4 linked regions of the Drosophila melanogaster genome follow. The protein of the gene in region 1 purifies or fractionates together with the protein of each later gene. This does not show direct contact. Each region holds a gene or a part of one and is shown in the gene's direction. Other genes may lie near its edges.

The links.
Region 2: the proteins of Fkbp39 (region 1) and CG7275 purify together in Drosophila melanogaster (affinity purification with mass spectrometry, with the first as the bait; one large-scale study listed by BioGRID). This does not show direct contact.
Region 3: the proteins of Fkbp39 (region 1) and CG1671 purify together in Drosophila melanogaster (affinity purification with mass spectrometry, with the first as the bait; one large-scale study listed by BioGRID). This does not show direct contact.
Region 4: the proteins of Fkbp39 (region 1) and CG6724 purify together in Drosophila melanogaster (affinity purification with mass spectrometry, with the first as the bait; one large-scale study listed by BioGRID). This does not show direct contact.

The regions. Positions count from the first base shown.
Region 1 is NT_033777.3:15,330,365-15,335,782, reverse strand, and holds Fkbp39 (FK506-binding protein 39kD), read left to right. Parts: upstream 1-2,649; 5' UTR 2,650-2,754; coding exon 2,755-2,770; intron 2,771-2,954; coding exon 2,955-3,167; intron 3,168-3,234; coding exon 3,235-4,079; 3' UTR 4,080-4,199; downstream 4,200-5,418. Other genes in the region: Cyfip (cytoplasmic FMR1 interacting protein), read right to left, coding at 1-230, 286-2,117, 2,188-2,394; mRpL9 (mitochondrial ribosomal protein L9), read right to left, coding at 4,226-4,900, 4,958-5,029. UniProt on the Drosophila melanogaster protein: PPIases accelerate the folding of proteins. May function in a signal transduction cascade during early development.
Region 2 is NT_037436.4:15,496,648-15,502,133, forward strand, and holds CG7275 (uncharacterized protein), read left to right. Parts: upstream 1-2,311; 5' UTR 2,312-2,412; coding exon 2,413-2,482; intron 2,483-2,534; coding exon 2,535-3,249; intron 3,250-3,305; coding exon 3,306-3,861; 3' UTR 3,862-3,914; downstream 3,915-5,486. Other genes in the region: CG13455 (uncharacterized protein), read left to right, coding at 68-627, 696-1,269; CG7276 (uncharacterized protein), read left to right, coding at 1,599-2,114; CG7272 (uncharacterized protein), read left to right, coding at 4,444-4,613.
Region 3 is NT_033778.4:9,846,180-9,852,973, forward strand, and holds CG1671 (uncharacterized protein), read left to right. Parts: upstream 1-1,881; 5' UTR 1,882-1,945; coding exon 1,946-1,971; intron 1,972-2,030; coding exon 2,031-4,368; 3' UTR 4,369-4,463; downstream 4,464-6,794. Other genes in the region: Orc6 (origin recognition complex subunit 6), read right to left, coding at 1-94, 151-215; Prosalpha7 (proteasome alpha7 subunit), read right to left, coding at 552-726, 894-1,459, 1,518-1,538; PCB (pyruvate carboxylase), read right to left, coding at 4,958-5,206, 5,275-6,304, 6,369-6,794.
Region 4 is NT_033779.5:10,767,009-10,772,853, reverse strand, and holds CG6724 (uncharacterized protein), read left to right. Parts: upstream 1-2,901; 5' UTR 2,902-3,120; coding exon 3,121-3,179; intron 3,180-3,239; coding exon 3,240-3,906; intron 3,907-3,963; coding exon 3,964-4,210; intron 4,211-4,277; coding exon 4,278-4,567; 3' UTR 4,568-4,620; downstream 4,621-5,845. Other genes in the region: CG17127 (uncharacterized protein), read right to left, coding at 1,573-1,869.

The DNA.
Region 1 (5,418 bases):
GGAAGTTGAAACCGAGTACCTCGCACTCCAAACGGAATCGCTTGTCCAAGAAGATGCTGCCCGCCAATTGCTTGTAATGGGCAAAGATCTGCTCGCTCAGCTTGTAGACAAACTGATCGAAGCACAGATTGACTTCGGCCTCCACTTCGTCGTACAGGAACTGCTTTCGGAAGACAGTGAGTGCGTAGTACGCCGAGTCGTTGTACAAGTCCAGGGGATACAAGACAAATCTGTGTGAGGCACTTAGTTAGTTCAGATCATTTCACCTATTCGCCATTTACTTACTCCATCATTGAGGGCTCCTTCGTTTGCAGAATGTGATCGGTTAGGATCCAGGGCATGGACATTTCAATCGGAAACTGAATGCGCTTCTCCATGGTGATCAGATCCTTGCACTCCTCGTTGTGCTGATGCCGCACCAAGCACTTGTTAACCTTACGACCCATGGTCATCTCCAAGTAGAACTCGCGATACCACAGCTGCGAGAGATCGCAGCACTTCTGAAGCGTGTCGCTGAAGTTGAGCAAGTAGCTCCAGTAGAACGATGTCTTGTGGAACGTGTCGATCTGCAGCAAACAGTTTCCGTCGATGTCCTTGCGCAAAGTGCGCTTGCCGCCGCTTTTGTCGGCAATCAGAGACTCCAGCATGGTGCGCACCATGTATAGCTGAGTGGAGGAAGGTCCCACATTGAGGCGAGGCACCTGGATGCGGAAGCCGCCGTCGGGATCCTTCTTGCCCTTGGCCACTGGATCGTCGGTGGGCTCATAGCCCTTTTGCCAGTCCGCCGATGTCTCTCGCACCGACATGATGATGCTCCGGATAAGATCCTTCTTATTTTTTACGGCCTTTCGCAGCGGTTCACGAAGCGAAAGCTGCACGAAGTCCTGCAGCTCGGAATAGATGTTACGCCGGATAGCCTCGCACAATACGGTTTCAATGCGCGCCATTAGCACCTGCAGTCCCTTTATCATGGCGATGACCTCGATCAGCGCGAACTTCTCTTCCGAGGTGTAATTGTAGCGGGTGGCCCGCTCGTACTCCTCAGCCTCCACGGGGCACTCCTTGTTCTGGTGATGATCAGTCGGATGCAGGAGCTTCCAGGAGTACAACTCGGTGACCACACTGGTCCACTCGGACAGCAATTGAAGGCCGCGCAGAGCCAGGTCGGCCGTAATCCGGTTCTCGGCATCAGAGGGATTCTCCTTGACGGTGGTGGTCACCTCGTTTGTGTATCGCGCCAGCTCCGAAATGTACTTGACGTGATCCTCGCGTATCTGCGGCAAATGCACCATTAGATCCGCCTGTGGGCTGATGGCGTTTGAGCTGGACAGCGGCCACTTGCTGGAATCGAAGTGCTTGCTGCGCTTTATGTAGTTGAAGGGAGCAATCTGCATGTCGCCGAAGAGGGGCACCACTTCCAGGTTCTTAAAGATGCGATCGATGCGATCCAGCCGTATCTTCTTCTTTTGATCAAGTTTGTTGATATTGCACGCATCGCTGTCCATAAGGAACAGGCCAAAGCCCATAACTTTTACCAGCATGTGCTTCTCCTCAGGGGTCAAGTACATCTTTGTCTCGAACATATGCACGCAAATGTTGACCACATCTGAGAGCAGATCCTCGTAGCCCACGATCTTCTCCAGCGTGTCCTTGACCGTGTCGCGAATCTTGTTCTGCGTGGCCAGGAACATGGACAGATTCTGCGACTCCTGCAAGGTGTGCGAGTCCGACATCACTTTGAGGAACTGCGCAGCTCGCCTGTAGGTGGAGTAATCGTTCTTCACGCTGGACTTCATGTTCTTCAGCTCGTCCAGCACGGCAAACATGTTGATAAACTTGCCTAGCGTCAATAGGTACGCCTCGGACACGAAGTCCTTGCGCTTCTCGGCGTGGCACAAGCGCTTCACCTCGCCGGAGAAGGCCTCGATGGCCTTGCGTTGGAAGTACATGAAGTTGAGCAGCTTGTTCACCTCCGGGGCTAGCACCTCGACCGTCTTCTCGTAGATCTCCACGCGATTCGGCTGCTCATTGGACTTGGGCTGCGGAATGGCGCGCGAGCAGCAGCGCCAGGTGTAGAGCATTACTGCGTGTTTCTGCCCCTCGTCCAGGAGCACATTCTGCGGGCGGAGAGAAGGGGTTCAGAGCTGTGAGTAATGCTAATGCGATAAGCCGGATACGCTAACTCACCAAGTTGGCATGGGTGGTGGCCTCCTCGATGTACTTGGCGATACCCGTGACAAATCCATTGCGATCCTCGAAATTCGTATCGAAGTTTGCCTTGTAGATAATCGAGCAGGGCTGCGCCTCGATGCAGGGCTGCTCGTCCGGCAGGGATAGCTCGTCCAACACCTCCACGTTGGACAGCGCGTCGGCTAGCGTAATCTTCTCCGTCATGCTGGGCTGCTTATCATGCTCCAGCAGCGCGAAATGGTTAAATTCTAACAAGGCGGGGCCCCAATCCAATCGACACAAATTTTTTTCGCCACAAATACAACACGACTTTTACCATTCGCCTGGGTGCGTGGACACGTGGCCATAATTAGCACATTTTTGCTGGCGGTTGGCGTCTACGATGTGCTTATGCTTATATGGCTGCGCACCGCTAATTTCGATAAGAGAAAGATAATCGATAAATACGGCGCATTGGCGGCACATCACATCACTAGCGTCTGTGGTTCCGTTTCGTTTTAGCGAACTCAATTTCTCCTATTTTATATTGCATTTTCCGTTAAGAGTAGCCTACAATTCTGCAAGATGTCGATGTTTTGGGGTAAGTCGAACTGATCTCACTTGCCCCCTCCGGGCTGGTTGTGCCAACGAGCTCTTGGGTGCTCCGACCGCGCTTTTATTGCCACCACGTGCTTGCCGCTCGATTTACCGGCAGCGTGGAGCGGCGCCATTTGCACGCCGATGTAAAGTAAACCATGTTTTTGACCAACTGTGTCCTCTTCCAGGTTTGAACATGAAGCCTGAGCGCAAGTACTCGCAGACGATCATCAAGTCGTTCCACATCTCGGGCGTGGCACTCGACAAGGGCCAGGAGGCCAAGTTGTACCTCGCTGCCGAGAAGCAGGAGTACATCGTGGCCACCGTGACCAAGGCCATTCCACAGGTTGCGCTCGACCTGAACTTCAGCAAGGGCGATCGCATCATGTTCTACACCGCCGGTAAGACCTTTTATGTCCACTATGTTCGCATGTTTATCCGTTTCTGACGCTTTCGTTCGTTTCACAGGCGACGCCAGCGTTTCTCTGTTGGGCTACTTGCACGACATTGATTCCGAAGATGATGAGGATGACGATCAAATGACGATCGAGAATTTGCTGAACTCCAAGGCGATCAAGAATAGCAAAAAGTCTGAAGATGATGAGGATGAGAATGAGAGCGGCGAGGAGGACGAGGAGGATACTGATGACGATAGCCAGATAATCGAGGAATACGAGTCCTTCCTCGAAAATGGTGAGGAGGAAGATGACGACGATGTTGATGAGGATAACGAGGAGAGTGGCGAGGAGGATGAACAGGACAGCGACGACTCCGAAGCTGAAGAGGAACAGCCAAAGGCCAAGGTTGCCAAGCTCTCTCCTGGCGCTAGCGCCAAGAAATCTGGCAAGGAGCAGAACGGTGTGGCCAAGAAGGAGGAGGCCAAGCAGCAGCAAAAGAAGAAGGAGAAGCCAGAGGCCAAGAAGGAACAACCCAAGGCCAAGGAGCCAGCCAAGCAGCAACCAGCTTCTAAGGATCCACGTACTATCACCGGAGGCGTGAAGATTGTGGATCAGGTCGTCGGCAAAGGCGAAGAAGCCAAGCAGGGCAAACGCGTATCTGTTTACTACATCGGCCGCCTGCAGTCGAACAACAAGACCTTCGACAGCCTCCTGAAGGGAAAACCATTTAAGTTCGCCCTGGGCGGCGGAGAGGTCATCAAGGGCTGGGACGTGGGAGTCGCCGGCATGAAGGTGGGCGGCAAGCGAGTCATTACCTGCCCCCCGCACATGGCGTACGGCGCACGGGGAGCTCCACCGAAGATCGGACCGAACTCCACTCTCGTCTTCGAAGTGGAACTGAAAGCTGTGCATTAGTGCACTATATTAACATCATATAGACTTGTAATCCTAAGTAAGTATCCACGTCGTACAACTTGATAAAAATGTTAAATAAACTCTGTTTTCCGGCTGTTCATAAATCAACAGTTTTGTAACAATCGCATGTATTTGGTATGGGGTCTCTAAGGGGTTTTTTCGGGTGAACATACATCCAGCAGGGGCTCAGACTGGAGTTTCCAGTGCTCGAGTACGTAAGGCAGCCGTTCGCTGGGATCTGTGCTCCAGTGGTGCAGACGACACTTGAGTCGCGCCTGTTCCAGCTTGTTTATGGTCACAGTGCAGTAGAAGTCCTTGTTCTCCTTCTTCAGGTCGGGTCCCTCGATGCGCTCCTTGGGCAGGGTAATGCACTCCTCGCGACAATAGAACCCAGTCTTGCGCAGCGAGGCCTTGATGTGCCAGGGCTCGAGCACCCATGGCTCATCCTTGTTCATGACCACCGCCAGCACAATGGTCTCCAGCATGTTGACCGTGCGCTGGGCGTAGGGGGAGCTGTGTTTAACAGTCGATTTTTCAGCCTCTGTCTTGGCGTACTTGGCCACATTCTCCGGCGTATTGTACGCGGCCAAACCCGGCAGCAGGAGCTTATTGTAGACAAAGTGCGGCTTCATTGACACCACGTCGCCCTTGTCGCCAACGCCCTCGACGAAGGTCTTTAGCACCACCTCGATGTTGGGCCGCTTTTTGACCAGCGTGTCGTCCACGAGCTCGTAGATGAAGTTCTTGGCCCTCATCCGGCGGGGTTTCTCGTTGGTTTTGTGCAGCGGCGGGTCATATTTGCGCTTCAGGACGAACGTGGTCTGGAAGCAAATTGGTGGTGAATGGGGATCGCTTCCCTAATCCAGGAGAGCACTTACCCGCACTTGCTGCTGCAGGCTGGTGGCCGATTTAAGCAAATTTAACGGCGTTACGTAGATGTTCTTCAACATTTTTACCACCAATATGTCTGCGTTGCCAGACTACTCAGCCAGTTTGCAGTGTTGCCAGATATGATTATTTAATCTGCGTGAGTTCAGCAGTAAAATTTTCAGTGACTTTGAAAACGATTATGAATTTAGTTTTTTTATTGCAACTATTTCTTTACATTTTAATAAAGCAAAATAATTTGCCCAATTTACCTTTTAATTGATTAAAAAAAATGTACCTTTGAAAGTATTATGACTGTCAATTTTAATTTAATAGTTTCATTACAAAATAAAAGATTGACTATGCCAATATTTCGGCGAACGCGCCCATCGACATGCAGTATGCGTACACGCTGTGAAGCAGTTTTTAAACGGAAACCGTTAGTCGAATTTATTTACAATATGACATTTTA
Region 2 (5,486 bases), on another chromosome or scaffold:
TTTACAGTCAGGTGACAAGACGGAGACATCGACGACGACAGCGACACGAGGTGGGAAAGGACCAAGGATGAACCTGAGCACCCTTCTGAGGAGTGTGAGCAACGGTCTTGGCTTCGGAACCGTCACGAGAAAGAGCGACTTGGGTCGTCCCCTGGCCCCTCTTAGCTCCACGTCGAGCTCGTCTTCAAATAATTCAAATTTGGATCCCGTTTCCAGTCTCTTACTTCCCTCGGAGGACGAAGAGGACGAGCCCATATCACTGGGCGAAAATCATCTGGCCTCAACTGATGCCAGCCTGAACAAAAACCAGGAGCCCAATCCCTACCAGCAGACCGTCCAACAGATACTGCGACTAGTGAATGAACTGGAGCACACAATTCACGAGGATCGGCAGCAGGAGTTCAAGCTCCGAATGGCCCTCGATCGGCAGACAGAACGGGTTCAGGAACTGGTGTTTTCACTGGACACGGAAAGGAAGCGAAACGAGCGACTGGTGCAGTTGCTCCGGGGAATCGATAGCTCCAGTTCGAGTGAGAGCGATCCGGAGAAGAGGGGCCCCAGTGGCTCCCATGTGAACTCCATTGGTGAGCTGTACGACTCCATCAGTCCACTGCTGATGCAACAGCGGTAAGTTTTCAACAATATTAGAAAAGGGTATACATATGTAGGCACTAAGTATTCTGGCGCATTTTCAGTTACGTTGAGCTCTCCGTGTCCCATCGCCAAAGTCGTCGGCAGTTAGCCAAGAGGGAAAAGGCTCTCAAGGTACTTCAAAGCAAAACGGAGCAGCTGCACTCCAAATACGACGAGCTATTCGATGAGTACCGGAGTGAACAGCGCCGTTTCGAGATGCTGTGCACTCGCTATATTCAAATGCAGTTGAAGAAGAAACAGCAAATCTTCAATCTAAAGAATACACTCGGTCAGGCTAGCGAGTGTATATTCCATGCCCAGGTGGTCATCGATGAGTGTTGTCATGCGGAGAAGTCGCCCATTTCTCCGGAGAATCTGGAGATCTTTCGCAGGAATCTAGAGTGCTTTATGGATGCGCTCAGGAACTGCTGCTGCCTGCGAAAAGTCCACGAGCTTCAGCAGCAGCAGCGCAAAAAGGAGGAAATGGAAAAGTGTCAGAACCAGAATCCAGTCGATGACTTGCTCACACCGAAGGCCAGGGAACGCTCAAGTCAAGAGCAGAGTAGTGACACCTACATTCAGAATCTCTCCAATCGACATCCTCGTATTCGACGTTACAGGCATTCAGCTCGTTAAATCTTCACTTTTGGTTACTACTTAACGTTAGGTTAACTTTGAAATATTTTAACTAGAAAAAATTGGGTCATTTAGACAATGGAAAGTGTAAAAAAAAATAACAAAAATATGTTTATGCGAAATAAAAAACTAACAAAACAATAGATTTTTTTATAATTGCAAAAAAGGTTAAAAAGCGAAAATTGAACTTATTATTTACCAATCACTGTGTTTTCTTTGGAAAACTAGATGGCCATGAAAAATTTGTTCTGTCTGATTATTTCTCTTAACTTATTGCAATCGAAGTTTATCTGGAATTTGAACGAAACACAGATAAAAATATCGCAAAAATGTCGACACAAAGACCCAAAACCTTGTCGACTGCAAAGGAGTCCTTTCGAGCGTCCGCGGTCAGCGCAGACAGCCGATCCGAGGTAATGTCCCACAGTGACTCGGATGAAGAATGGGAGCCTGGGAATGAGGATAAGCCGGCATCTGATGTCACCATCTATAACTACTACAACATGGGACCAGCATTCGGCAAGAAGTTCCCATTGCCGTACATTCGCTTGATGATAGCCCAGGTGGTCAAGGAGAAGCTGGCAAACAAGACCTATAATCAATCGGAAGCCCTTAAATGGACCCGCGAAGTCGCCGATGACATAAACATTAAGATGAAGGGACGCGGCTCTTCTCCAAGATTCAAGCACGTTGTGAACGTAATGCTTTACCAGCAGACCGGAGCCGGATGTTTCTACGGAGCTCGCGCCATTTGGGATGAGCTGTCCGATGACTACATAACCTTCACCTTTGATGGTGGCAGTTTTATCTGCATTGCTGCCGTTTTTGGTTGCTATCAGTACTAGGTTGATGTACAATTAATCAAATATAAGAAATTTTTTAGTATTATGCATTTGCATAAAATGAACGTGAACTGTGTTGCATTTGATTGATCATACAACACTCAGAAGAATTCCCTCCAAAATTTCAAATTTCAGTGTTACCCTATTGGTTTTGCATTAGTGTTACCACACCCACTACTCAACACAATCAGCTGACAGCCGCTCTGTATGGCAACACTGTAGCACGCACATGTTGTTTATGTTCGAAACTCACGATTAATTTTATTTTACGCCGCAGAAAAGCTTAATAAATGCAATCAGGATGAAGGTGAAAATGATTAGTCGCAATCCGGATAACTATGTCCGAGAAACCAAACTGCAACAGCACAAAAGTAAGTTCATATACGAAGAAAGACCAAAGTATTATAAGAATGCCACTTTCAGTGCCCAGGAACTACGATCCTTCGCTGCATCCTTTGGAGGGTCCCAGGGAATACGTGCGTGCCCTGAATGCCACCAAGTTGGATCGAGTATTTGCCAAACCCTTCGTCTGCAATTTGAGCGGGCATCGCGATGGAGTCTCCTGCTTCGGAAAGCATCCCAAGCAACTTTCCACCTTGGCCACCGGCGCCTATGACGGCGAAGTGCGCATTTGGGACTTGGCGAATCGTATCAGCTCTCGGAACTTTGTGGCCCACGACGGTTTCGTTCGCGGCATTGCTTACACCCAGAACGGAGGTCGCATTTTCACCGTGGGAGATGATAAAACCATCAAGGTTTGGAAAGCAGAGGCTCCGGAAGTCGGCGAGGATGAGGTGCCGGTGAACACTATACTGAGTAAATTTGGACTGCACGGCATCTCGCACAATCGCAGGGATAACAAGTTCGCCACCTGTGGCGAGGTATGCGCCATTTGGGACGAAAGGCACAACGATCCTTTGAAGACATTGAAGTGGGGCGTCGATACCCTTCACACCATATCCTATAACCCCGTGGAAACAAGCATCCTGGCGTGCTGTGCCAGCGATCGCAGCATTATCCTGTACGATCAGAGAGAGGCGCAGCCACTAAGGAAGGTCGTCCTAACCATGAAGAGCAACAAGCTCGCGTGGAATCCCATGGAGGCGTTCAACTTCACAGTGGCCAACGAGGATTGCAAGTGAGTAAAACGGCCATACGAAGAGGATGTGTTGCTAAAATCTTTATTTCTTACAGCCTTTATACCTTTGACACTCGCAAGCTGCAAACGCCGCTGAAGGTTCACTTTGACCATGTTTCCGCTGTCACCGATGTTGACTACTCGCCCACTGGCAAGGAATTCGTCTCGGCCAGCTACGACAAGACCATTCGGATCTACAATGCCCACCACAGTCACTCGCGGGATATTTACCACACAAAACGCATGCAGCATGTGGTCTGCGTGGCCTGGTCCCTCGATAATCGATACGTTTTCTCCGGCTCCGACGAAATGAACGTCCGCATGTGGAAGGCGAATGCCTCCGAAAAGCTGGGCGTCATCCGTCCACGTGAGCGCGTCAATTTCAATTACCAGGAGGCGCTGAAGCAAAAGTATGCCGCTCATCCGCAGATCAAGCGCATCGCGCGCCATCGCCAGGTGCCGCGTCACGTGCTCAATGCACAGAAGAAGATGCGCACGGTCAAGGAGAAGGAGCAGGTCAAGGAGGCCAATGTGCGCAAGCACACCAAGAAGAGCAAGAAGGTGCCCTACGTCAGCGAGAAAAAGAAGCATGTGCTGAAGGAGGAGGTGTGAGGATGATTGCTAACGACTGTAGTTGGATAAGTTTGAATAAAATTGATTTTTGTAAGGAGACTATGTATGTATATATTAAGAAGCCTAATCTCAATTGAGTTTCTCACTTTCTATCATTGTTCTCAAGTGACTTTCAGTTTGGTCAAGTCAAACCGAAGTTATCAGTGAATTTGCTTAGTTTAAACTATTGTTTGGCTTTAATTCAGTGATACTAGAAGAAAGAAGATGTTGATAAGTTCTAAGGAATACTCTCCTGTTGCTCTAGAGAGAAAACTCATTTGCTTTGCCATGCAGCAACGTTTCGCGGAAATTTGAAATTCAATTCGTATCCGATAAGCCCTCGCGGGCGATAACGTTTGGGGAAAATCGGAGAGACGCGTCCATTTCTAGGGGATTCTCGATTATAAAAGGTTGCCAGCCCCACCGTTGGTGCTCAGTATTTGTTCGTTTGTTGTTACGGCAGCCGCCAGTCGGTCGTTAGTTTTTGTTTTCGTTCATTTGTTTATACTCGCGCGGCACTCGGCCCCCCTCCCGTTCCCACATAACCCGTTTGAAAGGCATCAACTGAGAGTCATTGAAATCATGGAGGCACTGGGGGATCTCTTGGCGCCACACAGCGAACTAATCGCCAAGGTAGCCGGCACCATAACTACCCTGCAATTTCTGTCCGGAGTGGTTCTGATGAACGACATCCGCAAGAAGGGTAGCAGCGACGTCTACCCGGTGGGCCCATTTCTCTTCGGAGTGGTGCTGTAAGTAACCTAATTGGGATTCCGTGATGCTCCACTGCATGCGACATCGAAAAAAAAACTAGTGGGCAGGGGGCAGGAAAAGCGAGTGAAAAGAACAAAAGCCAACGCATCTGTGTGGGAATTGATTAAATTTTAGAACTGTCGCCATGACAGCACAGAATCGAGTCTCTTCAAGGCCGCCAGTGAATCGGTTTTGCACACAATTCAAGAAGATAACAATGGAATCGATTACATCACTGCGTTGGCCAAATGGGAATTACACTTCGATCATCCGCGACCGTTACATTTCGAAATCGTTAACCTTGTCGAAAATCCGCCAGCAGCACTTTTGCCGCCTTATCGATGCGAGAACCCTCCAAACACGTAGCTCTTATCTAGAGTGTATAATTTTAGAGCTCCTCTATTACGAATGCTGATCCGGTAGAGTCTGTCCAAATCTGGGAGAGCCGCTAATCGTTTATACGACGGGCGAAAGATACGCGACTCGCCCTCTCCACGTGCTCGGCATAAAGCGGGGCTGCCCAGATTCCAAAGGGGGTGGGCCACCCAGTGGTGGTGATGGGAATATCTTGTCATCTATAAATATAATCTTCTCTAATTATAGCCGTAAGGCTTGTCCATTACTGCATATGAATAATAGTGTTTGCTTAGCAAAACATAATATTTTTTTAACTATAGTTTCCGTAATAATACATTTCTTTAAACAATTCCAAATTCCTGCTGGCTAAAGCACTAAATGTAGATGAACTCTCGAGGAATTTACCTTTTTATTTTTAAATCGTAAACTTTCCACTGTTTGTTTTGAACATCTCAAAAGATCATAAAGTGCCATATGGCAGCAAGTGAATGAGTACCATCAAGTGAGTGTGCCAT
Region 3 (6,794 bases), on another chromosome or scaffold:
ATCCGCACACAGCACTATCTTTCCGTACTCGTTGATCTGCAGAGGGACATTCGTGGAGCGCAGTTCCAGGAGGCGTACTAGTTCGGTGGTTTTCCTGAAAGGATTCGATCTTACTGGGTAAACCTTTAAAACTATTTATTTATCGCTTACTCTAGCACGTTTGGCTCCTCCCTTAGGCCCATTTTCGTAATTAACTGTTCTATTAAGGTAGTCATTGTAGTTATTAACAATAGACTGAAATTCCAGTCGTGCGTCGTTAAAACCAAAATAAAGTACAACAAATGGCGCGAAATGCATCAGCTGTGAGCGATAAGGTTTTTCTTTGTAGCAATCGAGGTTTAATAGCTGCAGGCACATTCAAAAGGAACCAGATCCGATAACCAGCGAGCCAATATATTTATATCGAACGATAACTATTAAAGAATGAGAGTATAAAAATATAAAAACCTTAAATTTCACCCGATTTTGTTTATTCATTTTGCGCTTTAGGGAAATATAAAATTAACATTATGTATGAGGCCCAGAATTAGATTCACTGGCACACAAACGAACTAGTGCGTCTCATTGTCGCTGTCTTCGTCCTTGTTGGCCGCATCGCCGGCTTTCCTCGCCTTCTCCGTCAGTTCTGAGGGATTTATGAGATGTAGGCCACCGGTTACCCTGCCCACCAAACCCATTTCGAAGCGGAAGTCCTTGTCCTTCAACTCGTCATGGACTTTGTAGATGCTAAGACATAGGATAGATATGTTAATTATGAATAAAAACCTAGATTCTAAGTGCAATAGATGTCCCAAAAATGCTTCCTATTGTCAGAGCAAGTAAGTTTCCACTCGGAACTAGGATAAAGCCCGCCCGATTTTTGAAACAGTCCCTTTTTTTTGCTGTAAACGTACATTTCACCAGCGCTCTCCACCAATTCGTCGGTCCTCATATCCATCTTGAGCTTCTCCATCTCAGTCTTGGCCAGCTGCTTGGCCTTGCCGCTGGCGCAGGCGAAGTAACCGAAGGAGGAGCCGGACGGCTCGATCTTGTAGAGCTGTGGCCCCTCTACTTCGTCCCAGGAGGCGAGAATGATGGAAAGTCCGAAGGGGCGGACGGCACTGTACAGAGTGTAGGCGTGAACGTAGCCGGCGACTCGGTGGCACAGGTGTTTAAGCGGGATAGCCTGCTCAAATTGCTGTCTGTAGTTGGCTGCCTCCTGACGCGCAATGTCAGCCACAAAGTTTCCATCGGCCACCAAGCCGGCCACCGCCATTCCGATGTTCTTTTCGATGGTGAAGATGCGTCCGCCGGCGTCTGGTTCGTACAGTTTACTGGTGATGATCTTCTCCACGGCCAGCACCACGGCGTCCTTGCCCCGAATCCCGATTACGGTGCCGCTCTTCTCCACCGCCTTTGAGGCGTAGTCGATCTGGAAAACGCGGCCATCAGGCGAAAACTGCGAGGCCGACAAGTCGTACTGGAAGCGAGAGGGTGACGTTAGGGATCTGCAGATATGTAGTTCGCTGACCACTTACTCCAGTGCCAATAGTACTCATAGCGAAGACTTTGTGAAAATTTAAACAATTCAAACGCAAAAATTAGTTTAATTCCTTGGGTCGAATGCGACGATGATTTGACGGCTTTTACTTGGCTAGTGGTGGACAAAACAAAGGGGCCTATCGGTCAAGGAGGTTCGATAGTTTCGGAACGACTATCGTCAATAAAAACCAATCGTATACCAATCGCGATTTTTTCAGATAAAATTCGAATGATTAAAAATAAATCACCAATTCATGGTACTTTATTTATTTAGCACAGTTGAAGTTAATATCATTCTTTTCTTTTCTACTTATACATTTCGAATATCCCCTTACATGCTCTGTAAAGTAACATTTCGAACTAGTTCCGTTCATGTTCTGATCCGCGGCGCACGCGGTTTTTGTATTTATAAACAACGAAAATCATGCTGGCGGGTATCAGCGAGAAAAGGTAACATAAACTTAATAATTACCTGATGATTGCAAGACTACAACAATTTTAAAATCCAGCTATGCGGCGGAGGCCCGCTACACGAACTTCTACGCCGGCGGCGACATCGCCTGGAGCCCGAATGGCCATCATCTTTACTGCCTCAATGGCTCAGCTGTAAACCAGGTGGATGTGCAGACCTCCCAAATCCTAAATAGCTACGGCTTGTCTTCCCCGTCGGCGGATAACAAGAGGCCGGCGGAGCTGGACAATATCGATGTGGAGGAGGATACGATTACTTGCTTCGGGCTGTCACAGGAGCATCTGGTTACTGCCCATCGAAGTGGCCTGCTTAGGCTGTGGCAGCTGGACACTGGGAAGCTGGTGAAGCTGTGGAAGGCGCAGCACAAGGGACCAGTCATCCGAGTTGAGTTTAGTCCCTGCGGCAGGCTTATCTGCACCAGCGGCGGTGCAGATGCCACACTGAGGCTGTGGGACTACTCGAACAACAGCTGTCTGGGTGCCCTCAAGGATTTCCCTGGTCCCGCTTGGCTCCTCGTCTTTCATCCCAATGTGCTGCGCAAAGAGATCTACGCCGGAGGTTCGGATAACACTGTCTATGCCTGGAACTACGAGACGAAGACACTTGTGCACAAGATGCGAGGTCACCTGTCGCAAGTCACCGGCTTGAGCTTTAAGAGCAACGCGTCCGACTGCAATGAAATCGTGACTGTAAGCCGGGACAAGGTTATGATCGTGTGGCAATTGCAGGAGCAGTTGGAAAGCAAGCAGTTGAAGGTTCTTCCCTTGTACGATGAGCTTGAGGGAGTCGTGTACGCAGACGAGGGACAACTGATAATCGTGGCGAGCGGATCGGGCAAGCTGCAACAGGTCGACCCTAAATCTTGGAAGATCAGGGATATTCTTTCTCAATCTGATTTCCAAATTAGTAGACTGCTGCACTGCAGCGAGCTAAAACAGCTGGCCCTGGTCACTACAGAGCAGAATATTTTGGTCTACGACGTTGAAACCCTGGAACCCATTAAACACTTGGTGGGTTACAACGACGAGATCCTAGACATGTGCTTTATGGGCGAACACGATCGCTACCTGGCCGTTGCCACCAACAGCAAGCACTTCAAGCTGTACGACACGGAACACGACATGAATTGCAAGCTGATCGTGGGTCACTCGGATACGGTAATGTCCCTTGCTGCATCCCAAAATCTGCTGATTTCGGTGGGAAAGGACTGCAGCGTTCGGCTTTGGAGGCTTCAGCACGACAAAGATTGCTCGCTTGAGGCTCTGACTCAACAGGCCAACTGCCACACGTCCACTATCGGTTGCGTGGCCATGACGCACAACGGAGCTACTGGCTTTGCATCCGTGAGCCAAGATGGCAGCATGAAGGTATGGCAGCTCGTCAGAAGTAAGGAGGATCGCAACTCGTACTCTTTCAACCTGCGCTACGCAGCGCTTTCCCACGACAAGGAGGTGAACTGCGTTGCATATGCTCCGAATAACAAGCTTATTGCTACCGCGTCGCAAGACAAGACGGCTAAGGTGTGGCTGGCGGAGTCCAACACGCTGCAAGGAGTGTTGCGGGGACACACCCGCGGTGTGTGGAGTGTGCGCTTCTCTCCGGTGGATCAGATCGTGCTCACCTCATCGTCGGACTGTACTCTCCGCATCTGGTCCATCAGCAATTTTTCGTGCATAAAACGTTTCGATCAGGAGTGCACCATACTGAGAGCCGAGTTCCTGGATCACGGCAAGTTCATTATCTCCGCTGCTTCGGATGGCCTTCTTAAGCTGTGGAATATCAAGACCAACACATGTCTGCAGTCCCTGGACGAGCACAACGATAGGGTTTGGGCGCTGGCCGTATCCGCCAGGAGCAATCGGTTCTTTTACACCGGCGGCGCGGACTCCAAGCTGATTCGCTTCGGTGATGTCACTCAGGTGACGCGAAACGAAGCGCTGGACAAGCGGCAGGCCGCATTGGAGCAGGAGCAGACCCTACATTCCCTTCTGCACGCCCAGAAGCAGCTTCACAAGGCCTTCGTGTTGGCTCTGAACCTGGACAAGCCCAAAGCCAGTTTCGATATTATCAACCACTTTGTCCGCAAGCGAGATGAGCCCGGTCTCCGGCAATTGGTTGACCAGTTGAACGTTGACCAGCGGGTTGCGCTGCTGCAGCACGTCAAGGCATGGACCACCAACTCGCGCCATTCGCAGGCGGGCAACATGATCCTCAAGTACTTGATCGGAGATGCTCTTCTGGATCCCAAGGCGAGGTTCTACTACAATGGCAACATGGTCGAGGTACTCACTCCGTACGTCCAGAGACACTTTAAGCGGGTCACCGAGCTGAACAAGGATCTGGCTTTCCTAGAGTTCATTGTCAAGTGCATGTAGGCTTTAGCTTCGGAGCCGTTTCATTCATGATTGTTAACTTAATTCAGTTTAATTAATTTTAGGAAAAAAATAAAGTAGATAACCATACATTACATATTTGTTTCGAGATGTTTAATCACCAATTTCACACTACAAAAACCAGGGCGTTACTTTTTATTTTGTATAACGTTTATTACACAATAGTTAATATAACATTAATAACCACTTACGTATTTACTAGAGGGGGAATCTCGACACAGGTGTTTGCGAATTAAAAATTCCATAATCGTACAAATTTGATTCAAATGACTTGCGGGAAAAGCCCTACGACAAATTTACAAATATACTTGGGCACGAACTTATGCAATCCGATATATTTTGGCAGGGACAGCTAAAAAATTTGACCAGTTACTCATGGTCGATTGATCCTGGAAACACGGAAACATGAATGATTTTGATTCATATAAAAATAGACACAGGCGACTTTGGACAGTTTTATGATCAATCGAACTGACAGAGTCCCTAAGATTATCACTGTTTTCACTTAATTTTACATTGGGTGTGTGCGGTGGCAGCTTAGACAATGGACATTTTGATCCGGTGGCACTGTCTATTCGATAATCATAATGAGGTCCTCGCCCTCCAGCTTCGTTCCGTTGGCAATTTCCAGCTTCTTGACAACGCCCGCCAATGGCGACTGCACCACCATCTCCATCTTCATGGCCGAGAGCACGACCAGAGGCTGACCCTTCTCCACTTTGTCGCCAACCTTCACGCGGATATCGATGACAGTTCCGGGCATGGGGGCGCCCACCTCGCTCTTGTTCGACTTGTTCGCTTTGGGATGGACATGGATCTCCTGCGGAAGAAGAGCAAGCAAATGATTCCATTGCCTAAAGATCACCGATGACTGCTGACTGAACCTACCTTAACGGCTTCCTTGTCCAGGATGTGGACCGCGCGCAGCTGGCCATTCAACTCAAAGAATACCTCGCGGATACCGTTGGGCTTGAGATCGGCGGACACAGCCAGAGCTTTCACGCTCAGCGTCTTACCGCGCTCCAGAGGTACGTCGAACTCCTCGCCCACCTTGGGACCCGTGAGGAAGATGCGAGTGTCCAGCTTGTCGACGGGTCCGTACTTTTCGCGGAAGTTTAGGAAATCATTCGTCACCTGCGGGTAGAGGGCAGCTGACATGACATCACGGTTGGTGACGCAGGTGTGAGACTCCTGCAGTTCCTTCTTCAGCTTGTCAAAGTCCAAGTCCTTCAGTTCGGCTCCCGGACGTCCCTCGATGCGGGGCATGTCCTTGAGCACTCGCGAACGCAGCGGCTCGGGGAATCCGCCGTGCGGAATGCCAATAGAGCCCTGCAAGTACTCCACCACCGACTTGGGGAACGACAGCTCCTCGGCCCGCTCCAGCACTTGATCGGCGGTCAGGTCATTCTGCACCATGAACTGGGCAAGATCACCTACCACCTTCGACGAGGGCGTCACCTTGATAATGTCACCCAACAACAGGTTGGCCTCACGGTAGGCCTTCTTAACGTCCTCGAAGAAGTCGCCCAGACCCAGCGAGAAGGCCTGGAACTGCAGGTTGGTGTACTGGCCGCCGGGAATCTCGTTGAGGTAGACATCGGCGTTGCCCGACCGCATTGTTGTGGTGCACTCGAAGGGAGCGTACAGGGTGCGGGTCTGCTCCCAGTAGGCGGAGTACTCCGACACCGTGCGCAGATCCAAGTTCGTGTCCAGCGGAGTGCCTTGCAGGGAGGCCACTACGGCACCCATGCTCGGCTGGGAAGTCATGCCGCTCATGGAGTCGACGGCCACGTCCACCACATCGGCTCCGGCATTGGCGCATGCCAGCATGGAGGCCACTCCCGCTCCAGAGGTGTCGTGGGTGTGGATATGGATTGGGATGTCGGGGTGCTTGTCACGAATGGCTGTGATCAGAAGCCTTTCAGGGGATGGAAACAAAATAGTACACAACAGAAAAAAATTAAAAACCCCTTCAGACTCACCTGGCGGATTCGGGCTTGAGCAGACCAGCCATATCCTTTATGCAGAGCACGTGGGTGCCCGCCTTGACCAGCTCATCGGCAAGGTTAGTGTAGTATTTCAGATCATACTTGGTGCGCTTGGGATCGCTGACGTCTCCGGTATAGGAGATGGCAGCCTCCACCACGCCGCCCGCCTTTCCAGCGGCTTCCATGCCGAGGATCAGGTTGGGCAGGTAGTTGAGCGAGTCGAACACCCTGAAGATGTCCATGCCGGTCTGCACAGCCAGCTCACAGAACTTGTAGACCACGTTGTCCGGATAGCTGGTGTAGCCGACGGCGTTGGCTCCGCGCAACAGCATCTGGAAGGGAATGTTCGGGATGCGCTTGCGCATCTCCTCCAGGCGCTCCCACGGGCACTCGTGCAGGAAGCGCAGCGCCACGTCGAAG
Region 4 (5,845 bases), on another chromosome or scaffold:
CATAGACTGCATAGAACGACCTTTGAATTTATCAACTTTACGAACGTAATCATTAACTAACTAATGTATGATTAGCAGATTAGCAAAGCTGGGCTCCCCAAATGCAATAACGAAATGTTTCCATTATCTGGCAATCCATATTGCTTAGTTATACTTCTAATTTATACGTACTGAGCTAAGTGCACTGAAAACAAAATCAACCATTGTCCCCCACATTTGAAAATCATCGAATAAGTCGCAACATAAACGAAGGAGAAATTATTTAACTTGTTTTATCCCATCATGATTTTATTTAATTTGTAATTTATTTCATAACGAATGCAAATGATTTTGAGAAATGGTTTAATGCAATGGCCAACTGTGTAGTCCTCTTTGAATTGAAAAGCTTTTAAGTTTAGACTGAATATGGCAAAGTTTTAATTTAAAGCAATTTACTCCTACTTTAACCATAATTTATATACAATTTAAACTAATTTTACTTTGACATTGAGTCTTGATAATTATCGTTGGATTTTCCTAGAAAGGAAAATCAAAAGCTCGAGTGAATTTCAAAGCTGACGAGCGGAGAAAAGTGTCAAAATGAAAACGCAGTCATTCTTTAGTTAGTACGTACGAGTATAATAAATAATTAATTACCTATATGAACATAATTTATTTAGGCGATGATCGTGCACACTATCACTCACACACATACCACACAGAATTTTTGAGATAATTAAAATATATTATGAAAATACTTTAACTAGCGTAAATTTAGATTGAAGCTCATTTAACAATGTATGAAGTACGAAATAAAAATGAGGTAATTCTAAACACACAAGATAAAAGTTTTAAGTGGTTCATATCATATTTGGGAATATTTATTACCACAAATGATGCAAAAATCAGGGCCCTATAAAATACCCTACGATCATCGGACCCACCCAGATGTTATGCAAGCAGCCCCTCTGTACCTGCGGGCATGCCACGCCCCCTCCACGTACAACTCATTACACATGCAAGTGCATGTGGCGGCAATTACCAGAAATTAAATAAACAAACCGAAGCCCAGCAAAAAGCAACAAAATACAAAATACAAAAAAAAATAAATAAAAGTCCGAGGAAAACAATCACGACGACAACTGTTGCATCACGACCGCAGCACAAAAGTTGCCGGCGGGGCAACCACTCGGGTTACCAGCGACTCCATCGCCATTCCCATCCCCGGGTTACGTAACAAGGTTGAGGATAGGATACCATGCCATGCGATAGCAATGTGCCGACTTTTATTGTTAATTCGTATGCGCAGCGGGATCAGCGAGGAGAAAGTCGGCGAAGATCGTTAGGAAAAAGCCACAAATCAAACCAATAAATCACTCGTTTCGATTCGAGAGTTCGTTTGCAGAGGAACCAACTGGTTTTCGGGGAGGATCACTTTCGCTTTTAATATTTTTTTCGGATTTTTTTTTCCAATTGTTTTGGGTGGTAAATAAACGCTGCGATTAAATACTTGTAATGTTTTCGTTTTATTAGTGAGAAACTTAACAATGAGGACGAAATGCAATGAGCTAACCAAGGAAGTGGTCCTACGACTTAGTTGCGACCGATCTGGTCGACCTGGGACTGCAGGTTGTTTATCACCTCGGAGGGCACCTGGTCGCCGAGGATCTCGAAGAGATTGATGCGCTGGTTGCCGGGTATCTGCTCGTACGCGCCCAGCTCGATGCCCTCCTGCACGTTCTGGATCTGGGCATCCTTGGGGATGAGAAGCGTCTGCTGCGCCTGCCGGATCGCCTCGTTCGTGTAGGCGGCACCCTCGCGATTCTGGGGCAGGGATTGGGCACCAGCCAGGAGCAGGGCGAGCATCGAACACAGCGCGAACACTTTCATTTTGTGGGTTTTCTCGAGGGGATTCAACTGCAAGAGATGCACGGATTCAGTGGCGCTCGATGCGGACTGGATTTGGTTATGGTCTTACCTTGCGCGCGTCGTTTGTTGTAATGTTTCGGCTGCGCAGGCGCAATGCCCGTTTTATAAGCTGAGCTGCGCCGCTGGAAGCCCCGAAAATCTGGAAAGCTTTAACTCTTTCATTTCGCTTCGTTTCTGGTTTTTTGTAAAGCCAAAATGGTGGCACAAAGTAGTAGTACCGAAAAAAAGTGTTATTACTTCCCAGCTTAATATCCCCATCGACCCATTAAGGTGAATACATTTTTTATTGGAAATTTTTTATTTTCTTGGGCATTTGTCCAATTTTGATGCGAAGGTTAAGCGCCACTTCAGAAATGTCAAGTGGCATTTAACCTTCCAGTGAACACTCGGCCGCAAAGTGGTCTTTCAGGTGCTATCTGGTTCATATTAATAGCCTGAACGTAAAATATTAACAATTACCAGTCTTTGAAGATTGAAGAGTCATTTACAAATTGCCGCCGCGGCTGTGCATTTTTTGGTTTCTTATTTTTCCATTTTGCGTAAGACGATCAAAAGGAAGAGAAGCAGTTAGTGGCTAAATTACAGCAAATCATCTGCGCCTGATTTGCTTGCAAAAAATATTTAATTATCAGTATTGCGAATTGGCTCGTATCTCTGTAAGATTTTTTTGTAATAAAAAAAAGGAGAAACGACAAAGCAGTGGTTATGCAATCAGCGGTTTTTCGAATTTGATGAGTAATATTTTAGAGAAACAAAATCAAAGTGATTAGAAATACCATACACTCTATTAATATCTTTTTATTTGTTAAAGTAATCGGCAAATTACACTTAAGCAAGCTATTATAATTATGCATAGTTTTAACGCACCAAAAAATTTGAATTTAAAAACTCCGCTTAGTAGTAACGGGTGATAACAAGACGATAAGGCATTTCGATAAGAGCACAGCGATAGCAATGCGATAACTCTTATTCCGGCATGCGCTTCGGCGTTTTTTAGTGTTTTTGCATGTATTTGTTGCATTTACCATCGTTCGTTTAAAAACACGCTTCTTTTCAATTTAATTTTACACAACGATCTCCCGAAGGAAGAACCTCTAGTTTAGTGGTCAACACCTTGTACCACCTGCAGGAGTTAAGTCATAACCGTAGCAAACACACGCGGGAACACCCCAATCCCAATCCAGCCAAAAAGAAACGCACGTGGGCCAGGAGATGGATGTGGATAACGGCGAGGGGCAGGTGCAGGTGCACCTGAAGACCAAGCAGGAGCAGTGAGTGTCCATCTAGAATCTCTATCAGTAGAAGATTTTAATCAAGATACCCTATTTCAGCTATGCCGTGCCTGATGTGCCCTATGCCATCGATGGCACCGTCACCACCGTGGAGCTAAACACATTCGTGAACGCACTGTTGCGTCAAAAAGATGGCTCTTCCGACACGGACTTCGACTTCCTGGTGTTCGATGAGTACCTGCGTGGCCGGCTGTGCGATCACCTGCGCGAGAAAGCCATCAGTTTCGAGGACGCCATCGAGATCGAGTATGTGGAGCGGTTCCCGGCGCCAGAGCCACAGGATTGCCTGCTGCACGACGACTGGGTGTCCGCGGTGAAGGCTAGAGGAAAGTGGATCCTCTCCGGGTGCTACGACAACACCCTGAATTTGTGGACCAACAAAGGCAAGCACATTCTCACTATTTCTGGTCACACGGCGCCCATCAAGGCGGTGGACTGGATATCGCTGGACGAGGAGACGGGACGTTTTGTGTCCACATCGCAGGATCAGACCGCCATGCTGTGGCAGTGGAACGTGGGCTCCAACTCGGTGGAATGTGTCTCCGTGTGCAAGGGCCACGAGCGAGGCGTCGACAGTGTCAGCGTGAGTCCGGATGGTCTGAGATTTGCCACGGGCTCTTGGGACACGATGTTGAAGGTGTGGTCAGCAGAGCTGGACGATGCAGTCGAGGGCAGCTCAAAGCGGATGAAAGAGAGCGGTGTGAGAGTGAGTAGTCTTGCCATTTATAATTAGACTTGTAATCAGCTTTACAATTCCTTTCAGACCCCCAAAATTACGCTGCAGGGACATCGTGAGAGCGTATCAGCCGTGCAGTGGATGGATGCTACCACTCTGCTAACTGGCAGCTGGGATCACACACTCAAGGTGTGGGATCTGAGTCTTGAGGGCATCAAGACCGAAATATCCACCAACAAGTCCATATTCGATGCGAGCTACTCAAAGCTGAATCGGCTGATACTGACTGCTTCGGCGGACAAGAATCTGCGGCTCTATGATCCTAGGACAAACCGTAAGATCTAATACTCCAATATCAACAATGGAACTTCCACCTAACCAATATAATTCGGATCTTTCAGAGGGATCAGTGGTAAGGAATACCTATCTGGGACACAATGCCTGGGTGCAGACCGTCATGTGGTCCACCACGGAGGAGTTCCTATTTGTCTCCGGCGCTTATGACAACCAGAACAAGCTGTGGGACTGCAGGAGTCCCAAGGCCCCACTGTACGATCTTCTGGGTCACGGTGAAAAGGTCCTGGACATCGACTGGTCCAATCCCAAGTACATTGTATCTGGTGGTGTCGACAACACGGTGCGCGTATTCAAATCTCGCAAGGCGCTAGCGGAAGAAGCGGAGACGAAGTAATCCCAAAACTTGTAAACTTTTTATAAATACAAAACTAGTTTAAACTTTAAAGTAAATATTGAAAGATTTTACATCTGGGGTGTTACACTTAAATTATCGAAGTGGGTGAAGCAGAGAGGTATTCAAAGTGTATTATACATGGTGTAAATATTCTTGTTTTTTATTTCATTTACGAAATAGTTAGATTTCAATACTTGAATATTATTTTTATGGTATCCGCTTCCGAGTTGCCACAGTGCTAGAAAAGGCAAAAAACGGTTGCCAGAAGCCGAACATCGATAGTTCGCTAAGGATGAGCGGACAGCGCGAGCACCTAGAGACGGACCCGGACCGATAGCTGGCTACAAACATACAAATTATCGAGTTTCTAACAAAGATAAAGTCGGCTCTGCGTCGCCTCGTAATTTGCCAACTGTAATTTAGCGAAATAACAACGATCGCGACCGTGAGCCGCCGAGGAGTTTGGAGCGCCGACACTGCCACCCACCAAGGACGCCAGCGGAACAGCCGTGCATCCACTGCGAAGGCCGTGTGCGCGAGAGTGCGAGCGAGAGGGCAGCAGGCGACACAGGGAGAATCATTTTCGCAAGTGTTGTGATAGAAAAAAGTGAAAGAAACTGCAATAGTGAGGTGTGTATAGTGCTTCACGGGCTGGTCCCAAGATAGACCCCACCTAATCAGCGTCCAAATTCCGCGAAATTGTGCAATCGAGCTGCAGGCGGCGGAGTCAGCACCGTCATCATCATCCTCCGCCGTCGGCGGCGGCATTTTGCAAATGTCTGCTGATTGATTTTTTGCGGCATCCAGCACATGCTCTCGAAACTTTGGGGGCAAATGCTTGTCCAGCTATCACCTAATCCTGTCCAGCATCCACTGGCCTGACAACGAATCCCATGCAAAACCCACTTTTTACTGTCGGGGGTTTGCCAAAATGGCCGCTGCTCAATAGAAATGCGTGCGTTTGTGCGAAAAAAAGCAAACCCCTGTCATCATAAAGGGGCACAAACTGGGTGGAAAACCAGGTCAAGGACCCTGGGGAAGCCCCGTCCAAGATTCGCGTATAATTGCCGACTCCACTGGCCATACTTTTCACATCAACTACATTCGTACGCACAAAGTGCAGGCAAGAAGGGATTTCCCTTTAAAAATAAATGTGAATCCCAAGTAGGCTTTGGCTTCATATTTCACCAGTTTTCTATGGAAATTCCCTGCTGAACATAGTGGATCGTTTACATAAACCATTATCTAACCAAACATCAAAATACTCATTTCAGTTCG